Linked DNA regions of Lepisosteus oculatus. The protein of the gene in region 1 purifies or fractionates together with the protein of each later gene. This does not show direct contact. Links are inferred from orthologs where the notes say so. Each region holds a gene or a part of one and is shown in the gene's direction. Other genes may lie near its edges. The genes, in order: pheta1 and ocrl.

Region 1 (7,919 bases):
GCGCTGCCCCGGCTGCAGGGCCTCAACCTGCGCCCTCACTCCCGGGAGACGGGCGCCCGCAGCCCCTCGCCCCGCACCGGCGCTAAGAGGGAGCGCCTCGTCTGCGAGTCCGACGAGTCCCCCGACACCTGCTGCCCCCTCCCGCAGGACCCCGACGGCAGCCCCAGCACTCCCAGCATCGAAGTCAACGCCCCAGAGGACCTGCCCAGCCCCGGCTCCGCCAGGGAACGCGGGCCCTCTGAGGGTCCTGCCTCTGGGTGGAAGGCTTCAGGCGAGCGCCAGGATCCGGCGTTGTGACAGGCCCCACGTCCTGGGATAAGGAGCGGGGTCCAGGCCCCGTGGAGTCTGGCTTGGCACTTTGACATGCTCCGAGCGGTCTGCTCCGCTTCCTTCAGTGACGAATTCCTGACACCACATGAGTCAGGAGAAAAGTAGGCCTCCTGCTTCTGTGACTGTCCTCAACAATTCTCTACCATCTGAACACATTCCTTCTGCTTCCTCCTGTCTGTGTCTCTATCCCTCCTCTTACCTCACTGTCTCGACCATCCTTTTTTTCACCTCCTGGCTCCCTGTTCCTGGAATACAAGAAAAATGCCAGGTTTTTTACACGTGTCTGTTCATACAAATTTGGTGAGTTTCTGTCAGTATTGCAAAATATGTGAATGTTTCCAGAAAAGTTTGGTTTTAGTTTTACTAGTCTCATACACTGGTGATATGATGACATTTTTTTCTGTCATTGAACATTTGCACAAGACGTCAATCAGAAATGTCTGACTGCATGAGATCTTGAAATAAGGCTAGTAATAATGCTACCTTAATGCAGTTTTTTCTGAGAATTGTGTTTTCTTTTGCCACTATGTTTATTGGCATTTAGAATTTCATGACAATCAAGTAATCAAATCCAAGTTGTATGTGACTCTTTTATATAGTGGTTATTCCCACAGTAAGTGCATCTCAGAGGCAAATAAAGCTGACATCGGTGCCTCTATGAAAATGGAGCCCTACCCTCTTCTCTCACTCGCACTGAAATAGAAAGGCACCAGTTTCAATAGCTGTAGGTTGAGTAACAAGTGTAACTCCTAGTGAACCTTCCAGCACGGTGTACCGCGGCAGGTGTTGTTCACATGTAGTAGATGTTGTGTAAAGCTGTGCTATAAGAACATAAAAACAAGTGAAAGCCATTTGGCCCATCTAGCCTGTTTGATAGTCAGTAGGTAATTGATTCAGGTACTGTACCTTATTCAGTCGTTTCTCTTGTTGCGCTACTGAACCTTTCATTAAAAATAACAATCAAGCCATATAAAAAATGATCCAGCGGAGCAGTGAACTTATCAATAACTGGAACCTAATTAGTCTCTGCAAATCAATGCTCCTTCTGTCGGGTGGGCAGCTCAGTGTCAATATAATGATTTTGGCAGAGAAGGACACAGCTCATTGAATGGTGAATTGAACTCTAATTCTTTACTATGGAGTTGTGTAAAAACACAATTTTGTTCCTGAGATCATTATTACCTGCACTTCAGAACTTATGCATACATTTTTCTGGTAATATCATTGTGTTTATAATAAAGAATAACCTAGACTTCACCTCAAAACAGAAAAAATATTAAAAACCAACAGCAAAGAACGTAATGGTCATAATTTGACAGTGATGAAGGTGAAGATTTCAGTCCCATCATTACTAGTAGTGCTCTGTTTTAAATGGGGGCACAGCAGAATCCTAAAAAATGGTTTAAAGGAGAAGAAAAGCTTCCCATTTTAAAAGACTTTAAACTTACTTTGCTTGCACTGCTGGGCACATTTGTGTCACATGCAGAACATGAACATTTTTAAAGTTAAGTTCCCTTTGCTTGATCATTCTTGACTAAGAACAGGCCTATTATTTTCCAGCCAATTTAAATAACACATTTCCTTATTAAGGGCAGCTTGGTGGCACAGTGATTAGCATTGCTGCCTCGCAGCACTGTGGCCCTTGGCTCAATTGCTGGGTTACTGTGTGGAGTTTGTGTGTTCTCCTTGCGTCATCATGGGTCTTTTGCCCTGTGCTCTGGTTTGCTCCCGCAATCCAAAGACATGCTGTAGGTTAATTGGCTTCTGGGAAGACGGGCCCTGTGGTGTTGGTGTCTGTCTGCCCTGCAATGGACTGGAGTCCTGTCCAGGGTGTATCATGCCTTGTGTCTCTTTCTTGCTGGGAAAGTGGGTAGAACATTGATGGGTGGATGGACTTCCTTATTAAACTTATTAAACAGCACGGGGAGACTAGCAATCTGTTCCTGAAGACTCAGTCATTGAGCCAGATCCTTCCTTTAAACTAGCTACCCTAGTTACCAGCCACAGCCAGACTGAGAGGGCTGCCCTTACTGAAGCAGACCTCTGGCACGAATCGGGTCCATGCTGTCTCATAGTATGTTCTGGAGTCCAGCTTGCAATCTCCAAACTGTAGCCAAACCTACAGTATATGCCATGCAAAAGACTTGGAAGGTTTTTGCACTCTGAAGCCCCTTAACCTTAATTAACTTTGAACTTGAAACACCTGGGTGTTTATTCACATATTCCTCTTGCCCCATCACTGTGAAGGATAGAAATGTCTGAGGGAGTTTTGAATAGCTGAAGCCATGGAGATGTTCCTTTGCAGTGCAGGTTGCTGCAGCTAGCAGAGTACCAGTAAATCATGGCTGGGCAGAGTTGTCTGGGACACCTTTACTGTAGCTCCCAGGGTTTTGCTGTGAAAGTGTGGTATCCATTTGTCCTTCGCTGCTTGTGTTTCAGCATTAAAGCATGGAAACATATCTTGGGGGATACGTTTTTGTTCTGTCCTCAGGCTCCTTCTTTGGTGTAAGAATAAAAACTGTTGCCTGTACATTGTTGTATATATGTTTGTACTATATGTTCTTCTGGGTGGTCATATTTTCACAGCTATTACAATTTTCACAGCTCTTATTACACATAATGGATTTTTAAATGACCATGATCTTTCTTCTTTCTTGTTGTGCTTATTTATTTATTCGAATACCTAGATAATGGGCTGAAACTGTGTTCGTCTGTGTACAATCCTGAATCAAAATCTGTACTAGTGAATTGTTAAAAATTATATTTATTGTATCATTTTGAAATCATTTCAATTCTGTGCAAGACAGAGAAAGTACTCCGTGAGATATCTTTGGAATTGCATACCTCAGTGGTGACAGAGTTGTGAAATTTGTGTGATCATTTTGATTTTCACAGGGCAGTGGGACTTATGCAGTAGCAGTGCAGCACGAGTGTGAGTTTGAAGTTGTCTTTCTCTGTGAAGTCCAGGCTGTTCTCTTACACTAGCAAACCTGGATCATGTGATTGTTGCCAGAGCAACGAGAGGCAGTATGCTCGATGCACCCACTCCCTCCACCCATAATGCAGTGCTGTGATGCCCCTGCTGTGGAAACAGGGGAGCTCTCCAGTCACCCTGCTGTTGTGCCACCTCTGTCACTCCAAATAAAGCTAAAAAAAATCCTTTTCAAAATGTGACTGTTTCTCATAATGTTTTTTTACCCTAATTAATAATTCCTTAATAATTGCTTACACTTATATAGCGCTTTTCTGGACAGTCCACTCAAAGCGCTTTATAGGTAATGGGGACTCCCCTCCACCACCACCAGTGTGCAGCCCCACCTGGATGACGCGACGGCAGCCTAATGTTTTTGTTGTTTGTTTGTGTTGCGACGGAGAAGTCTGTGAGGTGCAAAACAGTGGCTAAGAGGCAATTCACTAAACAGGAAAAATATTTGTTTGATTGAAAAGGTTGTCAGACGTGTTTCTGCAATGGCATCTCAAATGCTTTCTCCTGTAGGCCAGGACTGCTAAATGCTTTCATGAACTGCAGTGACTGTTCTCCTGTATCATCGAGTTAATCTAATTATACCTCATATCAGTGTAAACGGGGGCTAAAGTTTCACATTCTGTGTCCCATTAGAGACCATGTTTATAAAGCCTTCTGGAGTGTGTGGATACTTTCTGGTCATTTTAATAAGAAGAAGCAGAGGATGACAAGGCAGCATGTTAGACCTACAACCCTGATTTTGGAAAGCCTCAATCTAGTAAATCTCGAGTTTCTAAACATTGAAAACAAGTAAGCAAGGTTTTTTTCTTTTTTCCAAGGAATAGGTGGGTGGCATGCTGGTGCAGTGGTCAGCACTGCTGTCTTGCAGAGCTGGTGTCCTGGGTTCACTTCTGGACCTGGGGTGCTGTGTGTGCAGTTTGTACGTTCTCCCCTTGTTCCATGTTCATGTGGCCCTGTACTGGAAGAAGCAGTTAGAAAATGGATAGAACTGCGGTCCTTGAGGGAAGGAATTCAGATTCTTTTAGCCCAAGTGATCTCTTCAATTAATTATTTTAATTATAGTCTAAAATCGTTCCAGGACTTTAGAAGTAGACCAGGTTTGATGGTATTCTATAAAACCGCCTGGACAGGGGCTCTTCAAGACCATGAAACTGAGACTTCCTGTATTACCTTGCAATCCTGAAATGAAAGATGAATGCATATATATGTATAAACATACTAGCAATTTGAATTATGAACATTGTATTTTGTTCAGGCTTGTGTCAGCAGTGCTTCTGCCATTGAAATAACTACAAAGAGCGGAGTCTACGAGTGCTCCGCAAACACTAAGGCTGCAGGAGAACTGCGCTCTTCCTTCTTGCTTATTCTGGCAGGCAGGAAGAAACAGAAATGCGGTCGGCACAACCGCGTTGCGCTGCGTCTTAAACAGGGTCTGAAGGACTTCCATTGCAAAGTCTGCCTCTGGCATTTCCCCGACTTCATCCTGGTCGAAACTCCAGTCATGTGACGCGCATCAGCGCCAGAGACAGGAAAAAGGGGGACGTGTCATCAGTTCAGTTCAGTGCCCGAGTAAAACTGCTCCGTAAGATCGTCTGTGCCCGGGTGGGGTGGGTTAACGAGGCGAAAAACAACCCGTTGGCGTGCATGGCACGGAGTGAGGCGCTGTGATGAAATCCCAAGCCCCGACACATGTCTCCCTCCGTCCTTGACGGGCCCCCCCGCCCGCAGCGCCGACAGCGAGCCGGAGGAGCCGCCTGCTTCGGCGGACCGAGTAAGTTTACTGCCCCGTTCTAAACATGAAGGCTTTTTTTTTTAATAAAATGCATGGTTATCTATTGTAAAAAAAAAAATAGTCTGTTGCACTCTACCAAGTAATCCGCTGTCTGTGTTTTTTAGGAATCACTGCGTTTGACTTTTTTTTTTTGTTCCTGAAAATGAAAACAGAAACAAAACTGCGCATGTGTTGATCATCGGGGTATTTATAAAATGTACCCAGCGCTGGACACGCGAGATCTTTTGTTTTCGTAGGAATCGAGAAGAACAAATACAACTTGTTTTTTGTTGCTGTGATTCGGTTTAAAATGTCTAATGTGTTACATGGGAGCAACGTTAAGGAAGACGTTTTAATTTCGTGTTACTTAGTGGAGCTATTTTTTGTGGTCACAATGGAAAAATCCTGTAAGTATTCTTGCACCTACATGCACTATACGTGTAACACTGGAATGATGTTAATACAAGAATTTCTTTCTTGCACTGAGTTATTAAGTTTTAAGTAATGTTCTCACGCTAGGAGAAGTGTGTGTATCACACATTTCACACATCTCACACCTCAGAAAGCAAGATCTGAAAAAGTAACCAAGTGTGTCATTCTTTCATATCTTAAAGGACGTGTGTTGAATCCGTGGAAAGCGAAACTTTATCTGTAGCCGAGATAAATAAACGCAAATGTGTCGAGAGACGCACGTTATGTGTGTCTTGGGTTCACAGGTCGAGAAATGGCTTAATTAAGCTCAAACCAGCAGCTGAGCCACGAATGGATGTGTGTCAGACAGCGCTTAATGTTGTAACGCCCTGAAGGCTAAGTATGATTAAACTGGTTAAATAGTAAATAAACGAGTGATCAGAGATAATGAAATAATTATAGGTAGATAGTCCGCGGAACACTGTATAACCACAGATTTTCAAACGAGCAGAATCTTGTCAGTTACCTGAAAGATCAGACGGAAGTCATCCCATTGTACTAATGTCGCTAGCAAGAACACATAGTGCACAAAAAAAATGAAAACGTCAGTGTACAGTCACTTTATAATAAGGCGCTGCGTGTGGCCGGGACGGGTCCACCGTCCGGCAATGTCTGGATTCTGCAAGAGGGAAGCGGCACACAGTTCTTCCACAAGAAAGCCCATCCACTCAACTCAACCGTGCTTGGATTGTGGAGGTGGAAAATGCTGTCTCAGGTGATCCTGAATATCCTATAAATGTTCCAATGGCCTCGGATGTGACTCCTGAATCTTTTTTTAGTCACATCTCTCCCCAAACGCTTGTGGGACTGAGGGAGTTTAGAACAAACCACCATACCATGTGGCTGAAGCCAATGTCCTGGCTTCCTTCGAGAAAGGTCGGGATGTGATCCCTTGCATCAGTAACCTACTAACTACCGATTGTCCAGATGACCAGAACAACATCCTCTCATTGTTAACATTTCTTATGTTCTTATGACCTGGTAACTGTTTTCAGTTGCGTCTAAGTAATGAACACTCCCAAACCAACTTGAACTATAACGGTTTGGATAAAAAATGAAATACTCTTATTTGGTTCTGCAGAAAATAAACAGTAGCTTACCGGAACGTTTATTTCTCCTCCTTCCATGTGGAGTTTGCCTGTAACTCCTGTGTTGCCATGGGTTTTGCCCTGGTTCCTAGAGACCTGCTTTGACCTGCAAAATCTATGTTTTATTGCTGTGAGAAGAGAGGAGGTTTGGGTTTCCTGATGTACTGTAGCACTCATCAGATCAAGACCCTCTGTGAATCTCCTTCTGGGAGTGTGTGTGTACAGGGTGATCTCATGCAGCCAGAGAGAAGGGAGGAACTGTGGAAAACGTTTCCATGGAGGAAGTGAGAGTGGCATCTGTCAAGGTGATGAACTTCTAGTCAGGGTCTGTATGTTTCGATAAACATGTAAGCATTTTTGTGCTGTAAGCTCTGGTGTGTGAGAACAAAGTGATTGCAGGAGCTGCGTGGCGTCATGTTGCTGCCCTTTGCCTGTTTTGTTCAGCGGAAAAAGGAGCTGTTCTTCCCCCACCATTTTGTTCCTCCGGTGTGTCAGAGCCCGCTGTGTGCTCCCTCTTTCAGCACGGAGCAGAGGAGAATGAGCAGTCCCGCCTCCTCTGGTCTGGGGCGCTGTGAGTGTCCTTAGGCCTCTTGGCTGCTCCGTAGTGTCCGTGTGCTTCAGGAAATGGAAAAGAAACGTGAGTAGACCTGCTTTTATTTCATATGGCCATGGTGCTTCATGGGTATAATAATGAGGTCTGTCCACTACACCTGTGAAAATGATCTAAATGATCTTACTTTAAAGTTTGTGGTGTGGTTATACCCTCTGGAGAGCAGGAGTGACAGAAAATGAATCATAACAATATGAAAAAGGAGGGTTTAGAGACTGTAAGAGCATATACTGTGCTGTGCGGCTCAAAGCAGGTAAGAGGCTTTTCCCATAAGAATTATTGGAATAGAGTCAGGTTAGGGACCTTAATTTAGACTGAGTGTGTGTTCACTTGTGGCTAAACAAATTTATTATAGAGGATTCTGTTATAAGTCCAGGTTATGTTTCTAAATAATGCAGTGAAATGATTTAGGGGAATAAATATCCATAAGGAATAATGTAATCAATTAGAGATACATCCCCATCATACAGTTCGGATGCCTGTGTGTGCTTTTAATGTATCTATAACTCCTAAAAAAATAAAATAGAAATAGATAAATAGCATCAGCAACTCCTGAGTCATGGTCTCGTCGAAATCAACAATGTTAATCACTGCTTCGGGATAGATTTTTTTAATGCATTGTTCATGCATTTAAAGTTAGTGATCACACCTTGGATCAGAGAT
Region 2 (7,364 bases), on another chromosome or scaffold:
GGTGTCCAGAATCACTGGGTGACAGAGCCGGTTCTCCGACCACAGGAACCGGACTGTACCGTCAGGGCATGTTCACAACCCCTTCAGCCAGTTTGCAGAAGGATTGTCTCGGACCCAGCAACTAGCGGCCGCTCACAAATGTACCTGAAGGAGCGCAACAGCTCTCACCTTGGACCCCAGGATATGCATCAGATTTTGTAGGTCACTTTGTGGGCACCCCAGGTTTTTAGAAGAAGGAGCTTCTTGGCGATATGTTTTATCGGCTTCAATGAATACATTTTTTTTTATCATAGCATTATATGCTGAGGGTAATGTAGAGAATAAATACACCCATTCACATTAGACGTAAAAGCGAAAAGCTTTTCACACGGGGCAGTAACATAATTTTTTGTTTGCGAGCAATTGCCCCCTCTAGTGGATAACACCTGCCATCGCACTGTCATTTAAATTTCGTCGACTCGGTGTCGAACACTTGCATTGCATCGAAGAAAAAAAAACGTTAGTACCTTCGGATTAACAAAAAAGACGTGAAGAAAACAACACGATTATAAAGCAGCACAATCGGTATGAATGAGGCCGATCGGACAACCCTGCATTGTTGTGGTGCTTTGCAGAGTGTCTGTCCCCGTCGGCTCTGAGGAAGGTGTCTCGCAGGTGTCACGGGAGACCGAACTGCTCGGTACTCGCGGACACGCAGAGCTTCGGCGACCCCTGTTTTCCGGGGATGAAGAAGCACCTCCGTGTGTCCTATGCATGTGGTGAGTGAGACTGGGTAAAAACGCAATTTAAATATTTGTTGTCACGGGCAAATTTTGCGGCCTGCCTTTGCCCTGCATCTGTCAATGTCCACGGTTAATTTGAATAGATTGAAATGACAGGAAAAGGAGGACTGGAGAAAGATGAGAAAAAGGAGAGGAGAGTGTTCAGCCTCACTAGCTCTTTTTTGCTAGAGGCCAACTGGTCCTAGATCTCATCCCACCTCTTCCCCTTCTTCCATGACAGAGAAAAGCTGAGCAGCTTGTTCCACACTCCCACCACACTTTGTGTAAATAAGAGCCTCCTGTAATCAGTAATCAAAGCCCCTGACGATCTGCCTCAGGCAGTTGCACATTGGGATTTTGATCCCTGTCTGTCAGCCAGCTTGCCTTTTATGTTTTTTGCGAGTTCTCTAGATGAGGGCTCCTTCCCTTGTGTTTGTGACTCTCCCTGTCTTCCAGTGCCCAGAGTTCTCCTGGAGGAGCTGGGACGGGGCTCTCCAGACCCTTTCTCCATCTCCGACTACACTCACGGTGAGAGACCCGCGGGCTGTCCTGGAGCTTTCACGTTTATCAGCGCTCTTATCGGACAGCGGCTTGCAGTATCCACACCAGACATCAGAGGACACGAGACAAAGGGTTCCAAAACCCACAGTGGCGAGAACACTCCTTTCTGGTTCAGCATTTGTGGCACCTCATTCGTGAATTATGAGTATGGATATCGAGGAAAATAGGCCAAAACGTGCGAGCCCCTAGTTTTTGTATCAATAATCGCTGACTCTTTAACTATCTTGGTTTTTCTCCCATTTTCCTGATCTTTAAAGTGTTAGCAAGAAAAGATCTGAACAAGCGATGATTTTATACATCTTGCTTAAACTCAACGGGTTATTTAACATTATTTATTGGTCACGCCAACGTTTAGAATCCGTGTCCAAAAGACATCTCTGTCATTTTCCTTGCACACGCCGGCTCACCAGCAGAGATGCCATATTTCAGTCCCAGAGCAGCGTGAAGGAAATGACAGCAGATCACAAGGCGATCAATAGAGATACACGGCCCATCTGCTGCCTTCGCTGAGAGCTCTGCACGTCCCCGGGGTTGAGGCAGGACGGCCTGAGGTGCCCCCGCTGGCAGGCTCCCAGCACGGCACACGCAGGGTTAGACATACTGGTCTGGCCTTCTCAGCGGCCCCTAAGCCCAGTCCCTCTTCACCCACAGGAGGCTGGTACACTGGCCCCGGAGTGTCCAGGCTTCATGGGAAGGTGGTGGTTTTTACCAGTGCTTTGGAGGTCTTTGCCCGAGTCTGGGGTACGTCGCTGTGTGTTGTGCTCAGCCCCAGGGGCCTCCGTGTCTGGTTCAGTGTGGTCTGGGCGTCAGGCAGAGTGAAAGTGAGAGTGTGTGGAGAAAGGTCCAGGTCTCTAGTGGCTCCTAAACAGCGAGCCCAGGGCACTGCAGAGGCAGTAGCTCCATGAACGCAACAAGAGGAAGGACTAAGTCTGCATGCCGGTTCTTATTTTACCCATCCTATTACATATTAGCAATCCCCCCCAGTTTTCTGTTTCTGTTACTGTACACGGTGTGTTCTATTTGGTGTGAAACACTGACTCTGGCAGCCATCAGGGTGCTGGTGTCGTCCCTGTTTGAGCTGTACCAGACAGAGCGGGCCCGGCGGGCCTGACGAGCCTGACGAGCCTGACGAGCCCCGCCCCTGCCGGCTCTTTCCCCAGGCCTGCCCGAGACGGTGGCCCTGTACTTCGTCTCGGGGATCTGCGCCGGCCTGGTCTTCCTCCTGTGCGTGTTCGGGCTGAAGTCCATGGTGCTGCGGGACGTGAAGAGCCTGTGGCTGGAGCTCGAGGTGGCCCGGAAGGCCCGCCTGGCCCGGAAGGCGGCGGCGCTGGCGCCGGCCCGGCGGGAGCTGATGGCGGACCTGGAGGACGACAGCTCCTCCGACTCCTCGTTCCGCCGCCTGACCTGGGCCTACCGCACGGCCGACACCCTCTTCAGCTCCGAGCTGACCGTGGAAATGGAGGAGAGGGGCGACGGCAAGGAGCTGCAGGAGGGGGACATGTGGCTGCCGGGCGACTCCAGCCCCTACGCCATCCACAAGATCCAGGCCTCCGGCCCCTAGGGAGCGGCACGCCGGAGTTCTGGGACAGCCGGGCTCGGAGTGACCCGGATCAGCTCATCACGGGCTCAACGGGACCCCTTTAGCAGCTTCTCCCAGCTTCTCTACAGGGGCTGGAGCCTCAGAGACGCCTGCAGGACCTGGAGACACGCTGCAGTCCAGCCGGATCGGGACCGGAGAGCCCCACCGTAAAGAAAGAGACGTAAAAAAACCCACCCGGAAACCTCTTGAGCGCTGAAACTTTATTTCTGTGAAGAAGGCATGAGAATTATTATTACTATTATTATTGCATGGTTTGTGAGCATTTGTCTAACAAAAAAAAATTAAAAGCCTTTGTTTACAATTAACAACTGTATGTGATGTACAGTAGCTGTACAGTTGTCTCAGAGTTTAACATGAACTTCAATGCTACAGATATTGAATGGATTAATAAAGTACTGAACTGGTTAACATTTCTCTGGTGCCTAAAATGTTAAATCAAAATTATGGTATGAATTATTCCTTTAATATTTTTTGTACCTAAATCAGCAATTAGTTTTTTTTTAATGTGGTACCATAGTGCACAGTTAAAATGTAAAATGCATTATCTGCAGCTCTTGTTAAATCATGAACATGTAAAAAGTATTTTATATATTGACCTTTTAATATTTCCCTCATGTTTTTTCACTTATTACTTGCTTTGTATTGGGGAAAAAAACAATTCTAAATATAATAAATAAAACTAATAATATGTGGTTGTTATCTGTACATTTTATTTTATTCGGTTTTCTGATATGATAGTTTTGGATCCATAATAGAAAATACCACGTCAACAGCTACTTGTCGTCTCTGTCAGTTGTCTAAGATACAGTTCATTACAGACGGATAGTTCAAAGTGCTCACATTCAAAATCAGACAGTTTTGGGACAAAACAAAGTGACGAGATTAAGGAGTTACCGGCTTTGTGTGGGAAATAGTCTTGGATGACAGCAGCAAAAATTCGTGGAAATATGCCCCACGAAGAAAACTCCATCGCTGGTCAGCTGGTCGAAAGAAAACCGATAAAATAACCTGGACTTGACTTGAGGCGACCTCACCTCTTTTGCTGACATTATTAACATGTAATAGGTTTATTCCATGCTGAAAAAAAGAAGAAAGAGAACACAACGTTTCGGCCGTGGAGCCTTCTTCAGGTGTCAAGGTTTGACACCTGAAGAAGGCTCCACGGCCGAAACGTTGTGTTCTCTTTCTTCTTTTTTTCAGCATGAAATAAACCTATTACTTGTTCCTTTGCAGCCTACGCATGCTGACGCAGCTACCCACCTGCATTATTAACATGTGCATTTCTTTAAAGAAAACAGTAATCAGGAATTTATCTTTCTTTAACCGTGTCAGAAATTAAACCTGGGGAGCACAGCCCCTTCTGTAACTCGGGGAGACGCCGATTTTGTGCGCGTCTCTTTGACGCGGCCCGTAACGTAAGACAGGGTCTTCCCAGCCGGTAGAGGGCAGTAAGTTTCGGAAATGGGGGTATATTCTTGCAGCCGCACCGCCAGGACTCTTTCTGTCGCTCGGCCGTTTTAATCCGGCTCCAGTTTCCAGGTAAAGCGCAGCTGTCGAGTGGGAGCGGAGGCGCTGGAGCCGGGGCCTGGGAGAGTCTGAGTGCGCCGCGGTGTCGAATAGGGGGCGCAGCCGAGGACATGCGACTTCTCGCCGGCGAGGGCTGCAAGACAACACTGACCTCCGGGGCAGCCAGAGCGGGTTACAGACACGACCCAGTCCGCGGACTGCGGGAGCCTCGGGATTAGTTTTCTTGGCGAGGGGGAAGATCGGGTTGTGTTACTCCGGCCCTGCTCCCGGGACACAGGTATTGTGAGCGAGGTTGGTCGGACCTCGGAAGGCACCGTGCGCCTGGTAACCCCGAGCAGGAGACCGAGAGCCCCGGCTTGTCGGCTCTGCCAGACCCCGGTCTCCAGCATTTCATTACCATTCCTCCTGGAGGAGCAGACTGCGGGGGAGGAGTGTGCCACAAATAAATACGGGACCTGGGGAAAGAAAAGAAAATACGGCCGAGCTGTGACCATCATCACACCCTTAGTCGCTGATGGAGACGTCTTCAGCATTCGGACTCTGCAAAAGCCAATGTATTGCAATATCCTTTCATTTCTGTACTTTTTTGTTTTCCGAGTATTTCCTGCCTCAGAAATACCATGCGTCTTCGTGTTAGTGAGGGAGGCACGCAAGTTGTGATAATATGCAGCGCAGGTGACTTACGCCGGACACTTTACGTCCCGTTTAGAAATGTCAATATATCTCTTAATCGTTCTTTAAAGAAAGGGGAACAAAAAGAACGGTGCTTTTATATGTCGAACCGCATTGAAATATGTGAAGGTGATGTTCAATAGTCATAATCCAGCCGTAGAAACAGCTTGATCACACGAATCGTTGAGTTTGTGGGCATCACCCCCGGTGCAGTGTTGACAGGCACCCACGCAAGCAGGCCGGCTTGGACCCAGAGTCAGTCAATCTGTCTTGCAGCAGCCCTTGAGGGGGTGTGTTTGATACGCCCTTGTGTCCTTATCTCTCTCCCCGCCGTCTTCAAAGGCCGCACGAACCTGGCAGTGAAAATCAATCTCCGTGCACGCAGTGTAGGTTTATTGGTCATGTGCGACATCCTGACGGGCTGTAAAGCGCAGGTAGGCTCGGGGTCAGAGTGCTCTTCCCTACGGTCCGCCCTGTGTCGTTTGAAAGGAGATCTCCGACATTGACAGGGTCTGCACACGTTATGACGAAAGGCATGAGTTAGGACGGCTGTGGCGCGCTGCAGTGTCACCGTGAGCGTTTTCATTCAAGGTTGGTTTGTGTTCAAAAACGTGTGGCTAGGTCTGTGATCAGTGTTTACCGTTGATCCCGAAAACGTGTACCGGTGGGACGCGGGAAAGCGTGTGTAGGCACGGCCGCGGATTTGTACATGGCTGGAGAAAACGTGAGGAATTTTGTTTTTTGGCGTTAATAAAAATGTTCCGATTGCCAGAACCCTTTAAAAATACATTACCTGCAGGAATAGACGCGGGCAGTCTTTGTTCTCGTCGCTGGTGTCGCGGGGTCGCCCGGGGCTGGTGGTGGGTGACTTGCAGATGTGTGCGGTTTCCAGCTCTGGCGCTGTGGTTTGGTTGCAAGGATGAGGCGTACTGCTAGTCTCCTCCTTATCGCTCTGGCACGCTGAAGAGGTTAGTGCCTCATTTGTGTGAGGCTCAGGACAAGAGACATGAGGTAGCAATGCCCCATGCCTCCTCCTCCTCCTTCCCCACCCTCAGCCCTGCCTCCTTAACCTGCCGCCTCACACCGTGAAAGCCCAGGAGGTCAGAGGTGGACAGAAGGAGCCCAGGCTCCTCTCCCTCATCGAGTCCGCAGGGGAGTACAAGTAAGTATCTTCTCCTCTCCGTGCTGCCTCATGCAGGCCTGGTCTCCAGTGTGGAAGCAGAGTCTCCGCGAACCTGAACAGAGCCAGGCGCCGTCTGGCCCAAACCGGCTGGCTGGCTGGCTGGGACAGTAGAGAGGCGGCGCTCCACGCGCTGTCCTCGTCGCCATTCCTGTGTTCTTGTCCTGTTTCTCCGAGGGTGTGTGCTCTGGGCCCAGGAGTACGCATTGCACTTTGGCACCTGTGACAGTGCAGTAGCTTTCTGGTGCTGCCGGCTGCAGAAGTCTGCGAGTGTAAAACTCGGCTTCAGGGTACACTTCCAGCAGTAAAGCACCACCTTCAGGGGCTCGGCGGGCACAGGCCTTCCCGAGGGTCTTCTTGCTAGTGAGGCTGTGTGGGAATTGAAATGCATTCCTCCACTTTGTCACGGCTTCATCCAGTGGTGGGGGAGCTGGAGCCTGTCCCAGCAGGCAACAGGGGCAGGGTAGGGCACGGCCTGGGTGCGACGCCAGCCTGTCACAGGGCACACACTCACACAAGGGCCAGCCTTGCCAGAAGCCAATTAACCCACCAGCATGTCTTTCGACGTGTGATCCAAACCCGGGGAGAACGTCCGAACTCCACACAGACGGCACCCCAGGGCCGGAACCGGACCCTGGCCCCCGGTGCTTCAAGGCAGCAGTGCGTCTCACTCTGCCATTGTCCTGCCCGAAAGAAACATCTGTATTTTCCATTCTGAAAAGGCTTTGGGATAGAATATTGCTTGGTTGTCAGGTGCGCTGAGACACGCAGGACAGAGCAGCACCGTTTCTGCTCACTCGTTTGTTTTTAGGGGATTACAGTTCCAGCCAGCCAAGAAGCTGGGCTCATGACTTTGTTGACTCATGCAGACAGATGTTCACTCAGTTTCCATGTAATATAAGCGATTGACAGCGTCTCGGTTTTTTTTCTTTGCGAACGGCACGAGACTGGTGTGGGCTGTCATTCTGCATCACAGGGCGATGTGTGGGCAGTGCTGTAGGCGGAGTGCCATCCCCTCCCCTAGTGCACTGTGCTCACAGATAGAATAAAATGTTATCTCCAA

Evidence for each region.
Region 2: the proteins of pheta1 (region 1) and ocrl purify together in Homo sapiens (co-immunoprecipitation; 5 studies listed by BioGRID and IntAct, counting the BioPlex papers as one, with this or other methods). This does not show direct contact. The link is inferred for Lepisosteus oculatus from reciprocal best matches to the Homo sapiens genes PHETA1 and OCRL.

Annotation. Positions count from the first base shown.
Region 1 is NC_090717.1:12,852,540-12,860,458, forward strand, and holds the start of pheta1 (sesquipedalian-1), read left to right. Parts: upstream 1-4,693; 5' UTR 4,694-5,087; intron 5,088-5,094; exon of another isoform or gene 5,095-5,494; intron 5,495-7,167; 5' UTR 7,168-7,283; intron 7,284-7,919. Other genes in the region: phosphatidylinositol 4,5-bisphosphate 5-phosphatase A, read left to right, coding at 1-297. UniProt on the Homo sapiens protein: Plays a role in endocytic trafficking. Required for receptor recycling from endosomes, both to the trans-Golgi network and the plasma membrane.
Region 2 is NC_090703.1:50,395,766-50,403,129, forward strand, and holds the start of ocrl (inositol polyphosphate 5-phosphatase OCRL), read left to right. Parts: upstream 1-4,316; 5' UTR 4,317-4,963; coding exon 4,964-5,011; intron 5,012-6,203; coding exon 6,204-6,283; intron 6,284-7,364. Other genes in the region: protein eva-1 homolog C, read left to right, coding at 615-758, 1,218-1,289, 1,974-2,063, 2,483-2,883. UniProt on the Homo sapiens protein: Catalyzes the hydrolysis of the 5-position phosphate of phosphatidylinositol 4,5-bisphosphate (PtdIns(4,5)P2) and phosphatidylinositol-3,4,5-bisphosphate (PtdIns(3,4,5)P3), with the greatest catalytic activity towards PtdIns(4,5)P2.